Linked DNA regions of Rattus norvegicus. The protein of the gene in region 1 interacts with the protein of each later gene in a pairwise test. Links are inferred from orthologs where the notes say so. Each region holds a gene or a part of one and is shown in the gene's direction. Other genes may lie near its edges.

Region 1 (4,134 bases):
TTTGCACTGTATATTATATACTATGCATTGTTCAATTTGACAGTGCATTCGGCAAGCGATTTTACTAGGTTGTTATCCGCCATGTTTTTGCTTAGAAAGTTCAGTGCTGTAGACTGAAGCAGAGGATCATGAGTTGGAGGCCAATCTGGACTGAATAGCAAGCTTTCGTAAACAAAGATACCAGTATTGGAATGTTTGTGCTTTATGTGCGGGCTGTAGCCTTAGATAAATCAAGCTTCGGGTGTTCTGGTTACAATTTCAAGAGTCTCCAAGTGAAATGACTAAGATGTTCTTAATGTGTTAGGTATAGTACTGACTACTTTTCAAAATTACCTATTTGCTTTTTGAGACCACACTTAGCATAACCCAGACTGGCTGCCCAAGTGCTGAAATTACCTGATTCATGACATCGTGCCACCTCTTTATAGATTATTGATAAAAATTATTAGACACCCAGTTTGTATGTGAGAGAATAGAGGTTTGGGGGAAGTAATTGGAACAGCATCACAGAAGGAATAGGAGTCAAATCAAGACTTAACCTCTATTTGAAACTTCAGGACTTTGTGTGCATTTGTGTTTGAGGTCAAGGTCTTTCTGTTCAGATTATCCTGGGGCTTCCAGGCTCAGGTGGTCTTTCTACCTCATTCTTCAAGGTAGGTAGGACTGTAGGTTCTCTTGGTTCTAACAAGAATCAGCTAGTTACCATAAGTTACAGGCTTGGATGACTATAGAGCACCAAACTAGAAGGTACTTATTGTTTAAGTTCTGGTTACTAGGTAATCCACTGGAAATTCCCCAGCTTGTCCAGTGACCTGGGTTCAGTTTCTTAGCATTACAAAAAAGGGGGCTAATGTAGTTACTCAGGTCTACCAAACTGTTACCATACAGGAATTTGAAACATTATTGCCAAAGTGTGTCTTCCTAAAGTGCTGTGGATTGAATCTAGCAGTTTTTAAAAGAAAGTCCAGAATCTGAGCCTTTACATGAAATTTAGGGGTTAAATGTTTGCTGCTAACAAACAAACAAACAAAAAACCAACTATGTGGATGAAATAAAACACATTTTGACAAACACTTGGTTACTCCAGCCCTGGTGATAAGTCTTCATCTTCCTTAATGAGTTCCCAAGAACACGTTCCTGAAGTTGATGCCTTTGCTAATTGTGTTAAGTGTTTGAGTGTATTAAACTCATTGTGCTTGTTAGAGGGATGGTTCTATTTGAGGTGTTTCATTTGTATTATTAAGGAGGAAGCTATGAATTGTGATAACTTCATGCTTACAATATTCTCTCTAGACCTGGTGATGACTGGAAAAAGACTTTAAAACTCCCTCCAAAGGATCTAAGAATTAAAACTTCGGTAAGTGGGGTGTTCTATTTCAAATGGAAGTTACAAGTAAAGGAGTTACGTGAAATGACGTGGAATGTGTCGGCTTTGTTTTCTTTTGAGATATTATCCTGTGTAGTCCAGGGCTACTACACAATCTTGGTCTTTCCCGTAGCCTCATTGGTGCTGGGAGTATAGTTAGGTGTGCACTAGCAGGCTAGCACATGGGTAGTTAGGTATGCACTAGCAGGCTAGCACAGGGGTAGTTAGCTGTGCACTAGCACAGGGGTAGTTAGCTGTGCACTAGCAGGCTAGCACAGGGGTAGTTAGCTGTGCACTAGCAGGCTAGCACAGGGGTAGTTAGCTGTGCACTAGCAGGCTAGCACAGGGGTTTTTATGTTTGAGCACCTTTAGTTTTTTCACTACAACTGAAGGTTTACTGTTTAGCTGAGACTGTATGTGTTGAAATAGTTGGAACTGTATAGTTAATAGATACTGGGTTGCCAAAATTTTCCTACCAGTCTTTGATGGGATTAGACAATAGGTATAATGTATATTAAGTTGTGTGTGTCTGTGTGCGTGCACACATACATACCTTGGTTATTGTTTTGTTTTCTTTTTTTCCCAGACAGGGTTTTCCTGTGTAGCCCTGGTGGTCTTGAAACTAACTCTGTAGACCAAGCCAACGTTGAACACACAGAGATCCACCTGCCCCTGCCTCTGCATCTCTGTCTCTGCCCTCAGCCTAACTGCATATCATAACCTAATTTTCTCAGTTTCTTTTTCTCAGCCTGTGTATCAGTGAGATAAACAGGTTAGGTATTATAACTACTGTGTATGAGTGTATAAGAACAGGCGTTCAATGGGGTTGGGGATTTAGCTCAGTGGTAGAGCGCTTGCCTAGGAAGCGCAAGGCCCTGGGTTCGGTCCCCAGCTCCGAAAAAAGAAGCAAAAAAAAAAAAAAAAAAAAACTAATCAAATGTTATTTATGTAGAAAGAAATATTGTACTTTGCACTTTGGTCATACCTGGTTTTGCCCAAAGATCCATTTTTAAAGTGTGTTTATTTGTTGAAGGTAGTGTAGTTAGTTGTTCTTCAGGGAAAGCTGACATAGAGATTAAAGCAGTAGTAATAGGTGTCTTTATATTGAAGTGGAGAAAGGGTTCAGTCTGTCGGGCATACGTTTAAGCATGCTTACTGTGAAAGAACCTCAAATGTATTTTATTTGTTTGATTTAGGATGTGACCTCCACAAAAGGAAATGAGTTTGAAGATTACTGTTTGAAACGAGAGTTGCTAATGGGAATTTTTGAAATGGGCTGGGAAAAACCATCTCCTATTCAGGTATGTTTGTCCTTTTTGTTACATGAAGGTTATATAACATGCATTATACACTTCAGCAAATGTTTTCAAAAATACTTAGAGCTGGATGTGGTAGCATACACTTTTAATCCCAGTACTTGGGGCAGAGGCAGGCAAAGGCCAGCCTGGTGTACAGAGTAAGTTCCAGGACAGCTAGAACCACAGAGATCTTGTCTTGAAAAACAATAAAACAAAATAAATAAACAAATAATGTTCTCATGTATGGAGTGTTTTATCTGCATGTATGTCTGGTACCAAGCAAGAAGAGGACCTCAGAGCCTCTGGAACTGGAGTTAAAGATGGTTGTGAACCATAGTGTTACATGTCTTTTGTCTTTGTGTGTGCAAGGACAGTATTTTTCTGAAGAGAGTGTGTGTGTGTGTGTGTGTGTGTGTGTGTGTGAGAGAGAGAGAGAAAGAGAGAGAGCGAGAGAGCGAGCGAGTGCGAGCGCTAGTCCATCTAGCCTTGGATTTGAAGTATAGCTGGAAGTGATCTTTGAGCTCTTGTTTCTTGCCTCACAAATCTAGGATTATAGGCAAACACCACAACTCCCAGCTTTTTTCTTGAGCTTTTAAGGGTTAAATCACAGAATCCATTTCTTATGAGTCTCTTGGTGTTTATTTCCCAAGAATAAGGGTTGTGTGTCGTGTCATTGGTTGATGGTTTCAGTATTTTTTCTATTTATTTAAAATTTTATATTTTTATGTGTTTGAGTGTTTTGCCTGCATGTATGTTCATGTAGCACATGTGTGCAGTGCCTGAGGAGGCCAGACAAGGGTTTTGGATCCCTTGGAACTGGAATTTTAAGTGGTCTTGTACTGCCATGTGGATTTTGGGAATCAAATCTGAGCTCTCTAGAAGAGCAGCTAGTGTTTTTGACTGCTGAACCATCTGTTTAGCCCCTGGATTTTATTTTTAACATTTTGTGAATGTGCAGAGGTCAGACGCTTACAGGAGTCAGTTCTCTTTCTACTCTGTAGATTCTGGGGATCAGACACAGGTGGTTGTACTTTTTTCTATCAAGCTATCTTACTGGCTCTGTTGCTTTTTGAGACAGGGTCTTATGTATCCCAACTGGCCTCAAACTCTGTATCTAAAAGTGACCTTAAACTTGTAACCCTTCCATAGAAGAGCACTGGGATTGCAGTGCAGGCTTGTGAAGTCTTGTCTGGTTTATATAGTGTTGGAGATGGAAGTCAGTGTGTTCTGCCTGCTGGGAGAGCACTCTGGCAATTGAGCTGCATCCCTAGACTCTTCCACTTATTTTTTTAAATATATATTTCTCATGAGTCCCTGTGATTTATCTCAAGTCATGTTTTCTCAACAAAAATACTGCAAAGCAGATTTCTCTAGGTGCTGAATCTGAAGGTACATTTAGTCTGATTAGCAATATCATTAATTTGGATTTTCTTGTTGAAATTGAAGTTTTGTCTTGATGTTTTTCCCTCG
Region 2 (4,134 bases), on another chromosome or scaffold:
ATTGCTATGGGGTTTCAGGGTCAGCTGCGCTGTCATTTCCATATGGTGCACCGCTTGCTTCTGTCGTCTTTGTGCACCAGGCACATCTTTCTAAGTTTGAGCGTCAGACCTTGACAAATAGTTCCAGTCATGTAGTGACGACTAGAATTTTACATCAGAAATAGAGGTAGGAATAGGGTAGACTGGAACCCTCTCCTGCCGGGTTGGTGAGTGTGTGTGGGAGTGCGCACATGTGGGATGGGGTTGTTTTATTTTGTCTGTTGTTTCTGTTTTGTTTGGTTTTTGCAACATGGGGCCTTCCCCCCCCCCCATAAGCTCAGCTGGTATTTTGCCATGTGACTATCTATATCCTTCTCCTCACTTCTTATTTTGAGACAGAATCTTGCAAATTTTCCAGGCTGACCTCGAACCCTCTGTAGCTCAAGCAGGCCTTGAGCTTGTAATCCTCATGCCTTAGCCTTCTGAGTAGCAGGGACTGTAGGCCAGCGGTAGCCGCTCCTGTGGGACCCGCTGTCTTCTGTGTCTTGGGAACTATTTTATAAGAAGAAAAGAGGGTTAGCTGGGAAACCGATCTTTCTGATTAGTACTTTCACCGGCAAGTTGCAGGCTTGTTTCTTAGGTCCTCTCCGGTACCCACGTATGTCCTTACCCCCTTTAGGTCCTCTCCGCTACCCACGTGAGTCCTTCCCCGGCAAAATGGAGATCTCCTCGCACCAGTCCCACCTCCTGGAGCAACTGAATGAGCAGCGCAGGCAAGACGTGTTTTGTGACTGCAGTATTCTAGTCGAAGGCAAGGTCTTCAAGGCGCATCGGAATGTATTGTTCGCAAGCAGTGGCTACTTTAAAATGCTGCTTTCTCAGAACTCCAAGGAGACAAGTCAGCCAACCACAGCCACGTTTCAGACCTTCTCCCCCGACACCTTCACGGTCATCCTGGACTTCGTCTATTCCGGCAAACTCTCTCTTACTGGACAGAATGTGATAGAAGTGATGTCTGCCGCGAGCTTCCTTCAGATGACTGACGTCATCAGCGTGTGCAAGACTTTCATTAAGTCCTCCTTGGATATTAGTGAGAAGGAGAAAGATCGCTACTTCAGCCTCTCGGATAAGGACACCGGCTCTAATGGAGTAGAGCGTCCCTCTGTCTATAGCAGCAGCTGGCAGGAAGATGGCGGGTCTCCCCGCTCTCACCTGAGCCCAGACCAAGGACCAGCCATAGTGAGTGGAAAGCCATGGAACAAGTACAGTTACCACCCAGCCTCCCAGAGGAGTCCTCAGCCACCATTGGCCAAGCATGAGCAAAGGAAGGACCCCATTAAGAAGACCAAGCACTTGAGATTGCCACAGCCATCTGAAGTTGTTCATTTCAAGTCGGGCAAAGGAGATGCTCGGACATCCGATTCCGGCCACCATGTTTCCCAGTCTGAAGAGCAGGTCCAGGTGGATGCTGAAGTGGATCCTGTTTCTGCTGGCTACCCGTACAGCCAAGGGCCTGAGGTCGCCTCCAGGAGCTTTCCAGGTACCCCAGAGAAGCTAAGTCTCTCAAGTTTAAAGGCCCTTCATTTTAGGTGCCACAGCAGTTTTAAAGAGATTTTTACATTATTTACATGTGTGTGTGTGCGTGTGTGTGTGTGTGTGTGTGTGTGTGTGTGTGTGTGTGTGTGTGTGTTTGAGCATGTCTGTATGGGTGACACCCACAGGCCAGCCAAGTGTATTGGATGTTCTGGACTTGGAATTACAGATAGTTGTAAGCTACCAGATGTGGGCGCTGTGAACCGTTCTCGGGTCCACTAGAAAAGCAGCCGTTGCTCTTCCTGAGACTTATCTCTAGCCTCTTACGATTTTTTTTTCTTTCTTTTCTTTTTTTTTCGGAGCTGGGGACCCAACCCAGGGCCTTGCGCTTGCTAGGCAATCGCTCTACCACTGAGCTAAATCCCCAACCCATGATTTTTTTTTTTTTTTTTTTTTTTTTGGTTCTTTTTTTCGGAGCTGGGGACCGACCCCAGGGCCTTGCGCTTCCTAGGCAAGCGCTCTACCACTGAGCTAAATCCCCAAGCCCCCCCATGATTTTTTTTAAGTCATACTTTTTACTTAAATTTATTTCATAGGACCTGGAGAGATGGCTCAGTGGTTAAGAGCACTGACTGCTCTTCCTGAGGTCCTGAGTTCAATTCCCAGCAACCACATGGTGGCTCACAACCATCTGTAATGGGATCTGATGCCCTCTTCTGGTGTGTCTGAAGACAGCTATAGTGTACTCATGTACATAAAATAAATAAATCTTTAATATATATATATCTTTAAAAATCTCTGAAGTGGGTGGACCAGGAGGGGAGTAAAATCTGGAGTGTAAAAATAAATAATTAATTGAAAAAAAAATCGGGCTGGAGAGATGGCTCAGCGGTTAAGAGCGCCCGACTGCTCTTCCAGAGGTCATGAGTTCAATTCCCAGCAACCACATGGTGGCTCACAACCATCTGTAAAGAGATCTGATGCCCTCTTCTGGTGTATCTGAAGACAGCTACAGTGTACTTATATATAATAAATAAATCTTTTTAAAAAAAAAAGAATTAAAAAAAAAAAAGAAAAAAAATCTCTGTGAAGCAAGGTACACACTTTTAATCTCAGGATTGGGGATCAGAGGCAGGCTCATCTCTGTGAGTTTGAGACCACCCAGGACTGCCTAGTGAGACTCTGTCTCAAGCAAACAAAAACAAACAAAAATTCCTCTTTAAAAATTAATTTGCTTCATTTTCGGCTTGTATGTGTGCGCGCGTGTGCGCACGGTGTGTGTGTGTGTGTGTGTGTGGCACTACCTTTCCAAGTGTAAAACTCTAATGTGAAGGATTGGATTAGAGGGGAAGAGTGGAGGTCTGTGCAAACACGTTTTACTTCTGTGCCAGGGTTGCTCGGCAGTCCAGGGCACTTAATTCAGGTCATCTGACTTTCCCTTCCCAAGTCTGGACCCAGCAACTCCTGGATCCCTTACGCTGACAGAGTCGTTGCCGTGCTCTCTGCGGTGATTTAACCCCACTGTCTCCTGACAGACAATCTGCCCAGGCTACGGTTCAAGTGCCCATACTGCACACATGTGGTAAAGCGGAAGGCGGACCTCAAGCGCCACCTGCGCTGCCACACAGGAGAGAGGCCCTACCCGTGCCAGGCCTGTGGGAAACGCTTCAGCAGGCTAGACCATCTGAGCAGCCACTTCCGCACGGTGTGTATGCAAGTTCTCGCCGTTTTGCTTCTATGTGAGCATTTATCTGCTTTCTCTCCCTCTCCCTCTCCCTCCCTTCCCTCTCCCTCACCCTCCCTTTGTTTTTACCCCCTTCTTGTGGTACTGGGGGACTGAACACTTCATCGTGCATGGTAAGCAAGGTCTCTACCCTTAGTTAGATCCCCAGCCCTGCTCTTATCTGCTTTAATAATCTAAGTGAGGCATGGGAAGGGGGTTCACTCAGTAAAGTGTTTGCCACACAAAAGTGCGAACTTGAGTCGGGTTCCCCAGCAACTACAGAAAAACATAGCATGATGATGATGATGATGATGATGATGATGATGGTGATGATGATGATGGTGGTGGTGGTGATGATGATGATGAAAACATAGCATGATGATGATGATGGTGGTGGTGGTGATGATGATGATGAAAACATAGCATGATGATGATGGTGGTGGTGGTGGTGGTGGTGATGATGATGATGATGATGATGAAGAAGAAAACATAGCATGGTGATGATGATATGATGATGATGAAAACATAGCATGATGATGATGATGGTGGTGGTGGTGGTGGTGGTGATGATGATGATGATGATATGATGATGATGAAAACATAGCATGATGATGATGGTGGTGGTGGTGGTGATGGTGGTGGTGGTGGTGATGATGATGATGATGATGATGATGAAGAAAACATAGCATGATGATGATGATGATATGATGATGAAAACATAGCATGATGATGGTGGTGGTGGTGGTGATGATGATGGTGGTGGTGATGATGATGATGAAAACATAGCATGATGGTGGTGGTGGTGGTGGTGGTGGTGATGATGATGATGGTGATATGATGATGATGATGATGATGAAGAAAACATAGCATGATGATGATGATACGATGATGAAAACATA
Region 3 (4,134 bases), on another chromosome or scaffold:
TGTCTTGGGAACATTCTCGAGCTCATAGGAGCTTGCAGCAGGGTCCATCTCCATGGTTGTCACAGCCACATCGTGCACTTGCTAAACCACACACAACCAGAGTCCTGGGAGTGTGGGAAGGAGAAAGCTGCCTTGCTCTGTAGCTCGGTATATATGCACCATACCCTCCCTGCGGAGGGCAGCCAGCCTCATGCTTCGTCATTGCCACCGGCTTGCCTAAGTTTCTGTTTCTCCATTTTGTTTCAAACAGGGCATTGTGGTGAGGAGGGTCAGCAGATTCCATTCAGTAAATTGGTCTGTACAAAGTCACGGGGCCTGGTGGCTCTCACCAACCTCCTTTCTATATGTTCCTCCTCTCCAGACCAGAGGGTGGCCTCCTTCTGCACCCTGACCGACCTCCAGCATGGACAAGAACTAGAAGGGGCCCCAGAGCTGTCCTTGTGTGTAGATCCCACCAGTGGCAAAGAATTCATGGATACACCAGGGTATGTAGACCCTCCCTCCCACTGTCCCAAAATTTAGGGATCCAAGGCCAGGCTGGAGAGAGTCTTACAGTGGGACTGACCTGAATACCGGAAGAGATGTCACTGGTCTATGTGACTTTCACACAGCATAGACAGATCCTGCCTGTTGGCTGCCTGTGCCACAGAAGCCAACCTCCAGTCAGCTGCCTAATTACTACAAAAGCACCAGGCATGACCCCTTGTCAGTCAGTCTTGGCCAGCCAGGCCACTCATGCTGTGGACCTGCCTAGAGCACAGTTCTTCCCAGATCTGATCCCTGATCCAATTATCTGCCTACAGGTTAGGGAAGTCATATCTACTGTGGCTCCCAGGACTTAACTCTGGTCTGCCTCTTCTCCACTTAAATAAGCCTGGCTTTGTTGGCTTACCATCCTCAGTGTCTTACCAGTTCTGAGTTCATGGTGGTAGCTATGGGGGACCTTGTCAACTTACACACAGTATTTTCAGGGAAAAGTTTGCTAACATGAACACAAGCAACATCCTAGCCTTCAGTCTCTTAAATCCTCTTAATTGTACATTTCCCAGGGAGCGATCACCCTCCACACTGACTGGGAAAGTTAACCAGCTAGAACTGATTCTCCGACAGCTGCAGACTGACCTCCGGAAGGTATGTGATTGCGGAGTCCTCTGAGTGCTTTGCCCACATCGAGCCCCTTTTAATTCCTGCAAATACATGGATAAGACCCTCAGCCGACCTGGATCCGGGAAGGAGGTTCCCTCTGTCTCCTCTCATCTTCTCACCGGCAGCTGGTGTGGGGTTTCCCCTGAGGGCACATAGAGTCCTACTGTGGCTCCCAGGAATTAACTCAGGTCTGCCTCTTTTCCGTGTAAATAGGCCTGCGAGTGTCTATGTCTTCTAAATGTGAGATCCCCTGAGGCTTTGCTTGCAACAGCCACATGTGAGCCAACCCAGAGGAGGATCTGTTACTCACCAAAGATGAGACCTTCAAGAGCCCAGTCAGTCAGCCAGTCAGCCAGTCAGCCAGTCAGCCAGTCAGTCAGTCAGTCAGCCAGCCAGTCAGTCAGCCAGTCAGCCAGCCAGCCAGCCAGTCAGCCAGTCAGTCAGTCAGTCAGTCAGTCAGTCAGCCAGCCAGCCAGCCAGCCAGTCAGTCAGTCAGTCAGTCAGTCAGTCAGCTAGTCAGTCAGTCAGTCAGTCTGTCCATGTGCTGGCTTCTCTCCAGAGGAACAAGATGCTGGTTCCCACTGCAGTGCCCCTACTGTGCTAGGTGCCTTTGCTGCCCTTGGAGGGAGATGGAGTCACAGAGGGCTTCAGAAGCCTCCTGGGATGTAGGCTTGGTTTGCTGTGTTACATCATAGCTGGTGTAAACATGGATGGGGTTGGCCAAGCCGGAAGGAACTAGTGAAGAAAATTAATTATACAAGAGTCTAGTTCTTACCTAGTGTGCCAGGGAAGCAGCTGACTTAGGATGGGCACTGGGACAGCTTTTGCCACACGTTAAACACATGTGGGTCTGTGTGCACGTGCACACTCACGTGTTGACCTCTGATGGTCACCGTCTCCCACCACCAGCTAAGGAGCTAGAGTTAAGGTCAAGGGCAGGGGAAACTGCCAGGGGGTATTTAGCTGAGCTGCCAGCAAGGCTGCTTTTTCACTTCCTGCTAAGGTGATCCTGATAGAGGGGATGTGTGTGTGTGTGTGTGTGTGTGTGTGTGTGTGTGTGTGTGTGTGTGTGTGTACACACGCATGCACGCGCACACACCAGCTCCAGGGACCTCCTTCCCAAGTCTGCCTAGACTAAGGTTTCTTTGTTCTAAGCCAGCAGAGCCCCAGGCAGACAGACACAGCTCACTGCTTATCTCCTTTGCAGATATGGACACCAGGGCAGTTGAGTTTAACTAACTTGGTCTAGCTAGGACAACAAGAGAGGCACAAGGGCCCCCGGGGTATGTAGCACATTAGTGGTGATGTACCCTTGATGAGTCCATCAGGAAACACAGAGTTTGAGCTCCCCGAGGAGGTCTGTACCAGCTTGCCAGAGGAACAAGAGCCTTCCTTGCAGGAGCACTGGGGAAGGAAGACATGGTGGTGTGGGGCAGGTGGTGGAATGGGACCGTCCAGGTGGGCTTAGAAGACAGTGGAGGTGGACACCAGGAAGCTTCCTTTGGAACCAGGGCATGGCGGTGGGCCAGGATGTAAAAACCTGAAGCTGTTCTAGAAGGGGCTGAAGTGTGGGTTGGAGAGAGAGGAGGAACCAGCCTCTAGAGTTGTCCATTAGTGTTGAGAAGGCCTTAAAGACAGGACGCATGGACAGGGTAGAGTTGGGGAACTGGGAGGCTATTGAAGGGTGGAAGCAGACGCCCTGACAGACGCCCTGAGGGAGTGATTCACCCCGCTCACCCACTGTGTATCACAGCAGTGAGCCACTAAGAGCAGTAGCTGCTATGACTGTTCTGCCCCTCAGCTCTAGAGATCTGAAGTCTGTCAAGTGTTTCTCATGGTAGAAGCATCGAAGGCAGTTACTTTTAAAGTCCTATTACGTAGTCCTGAGAGGCCATCTTTGAAGGCAGCATGGAGCTATGCCAGCACCAGAATCGCTTGGCGTGAGAGGCCAAACAGCTGTCCCCGAGTTAGCATCGCAGCTGCCACACTGGGCCAGTCTTGGGTAGAAAGGAGCCCTCAAGTCAGGAGGGGTTCCCACCAGCCTGGCCATCTCTCCTCCAGGTGGTGTGGGGTAGTATCACTTCCTACACAGCAGCTCTGCTCTTCCTTAAGAACATACGGAGGGAGCCAAGAGCCTAGGGTGGCTCTGCGTGAACAACAAAACCCAGGCAAGACCCTGGGACCCTCGTGTGCAGCTCAGTAGAAGTAGCTGACCTTGTAACACCCTCTGTCTCTGCCACACAGGAGAAGCAGGACAAGGCGGTGCTGCAGGCTGAGGTCCAGCACCTGAGGCAGGACAACATGCGACTGCAGGAAGAGTCACAGACCGCCACAGCCCAGCTACGCACGTTCACCGAGTGGTTTTTTAGCACCATTGACAAAAAGGTCTGATCAGCTCGCCGCTCCTCACCGTGGGACCCCGGGCTGGTCAGTCAGCCTGCCTGCCAGCCTGCCTCCCTGTGGTCCCTTCCAAGTCGGCAATGCAGTTTTTACATGTGCTTTCTGTCACCTGTAGGTAGATGTCTCACTGTCTGTCTGTGTCTCACTACTCACCCCAGCAGGCAGGTCGGGGGCCTGGACTCCCAGGTGGCTGCAGCAGAAGATGAATGTAACTGCTGGATGCTAACAGAAGCTGAATGGTTCCCTGACGATGCTCTGGCCTCAGCTTCCCTTTGGGAGAGAACTAGGTGTCACTAACCTGAGCGGGTGACCTGCAGAGACGCTAAGCCAGTGTACTGTAGCGGGGCTGTCGGACTGTAAATAAATAGGGAGGCAGATAATCGACGTGTACTTTAATGTTAAAGGTGCTCTATTTTTTTGGATGTACAGTAGTTTATTTCCACAGCCACATTATCATAGCAATAAGAAGGGTGCAGTAAGCAGTCTGCAGAGCTCTGTCAGAGACAAGCCCTGAAGTTTAACACTAGCACGAACACTGTTGCCGTAGAGACGTATTTATTTGCAGGAACAAACGGTGCCTGAATATTA

Evidence for each region.
Region 2: the proteins of Ddx6 (region 1) and Zbtb8a interact in binary tests that used the Homo sapiens proteins (3 or more experiments, as listed by UniProt). The two-hybrid records come from large-scale screens. The link is inferred for Rattus norvegicus from reciprocal best matches to the Homo sapiens genes DDX6 and ZBTB8A.
Region 3: the proteins of Ddx6 (region 1) and Sipa1l2 interact in binary tests that used the Homo sapiens proteins (3 or more experiments, as listed by UniProt). The two-hybrid records come from large-scale screens. The link is inferred for Rattus norvegicus from reciprocal best matches to the Homo sapiens genes DDX6 and SIPA1L2.

Annotation. Positions count from the first base shown.
Region 1 is NC_086026.1:53,834,877-53,839,010, forward strand, and holds part of Ddx6 (probable ATP-dependent RNA helicase DDX6), read left to right. Parts: intron 1-1,293; coding exon 1,294-1,357; intron 1,358-2,562; coding exon 2,563-2,667; intron 2,668-4,134.
Region 2 is NC_086023.1:146,984,891-146,989,024, reverse strand, and holds part of Zbtb8a (zinc finger and BTB domain-containing protein 8A), read left to right. Parts: intron 1-658; 5' UTR 659-696; coding exon 697-1,519; intron 1,520-3,047; coding exon 3,048-3,217; intron 3,218-4,134. UniProt on the Homo sapiens protein: May be involved in transcriptional regulation.
Region 3 is NC_086037.1:70,287,619-70,291,752, reverse strand, and holds part of Sipa1l2 (signal-induced proliferation-associated 1-like protein 2), read left to right. Parts: intron 1-250; coding exon of another isoform or gene 251-361; coding exon 362-485; intron 486-1,049; coding exon 1,050-1,131; intron 1,132-3,390; coding exon 3,391-3,537; 3' UTR 3,538-4,134.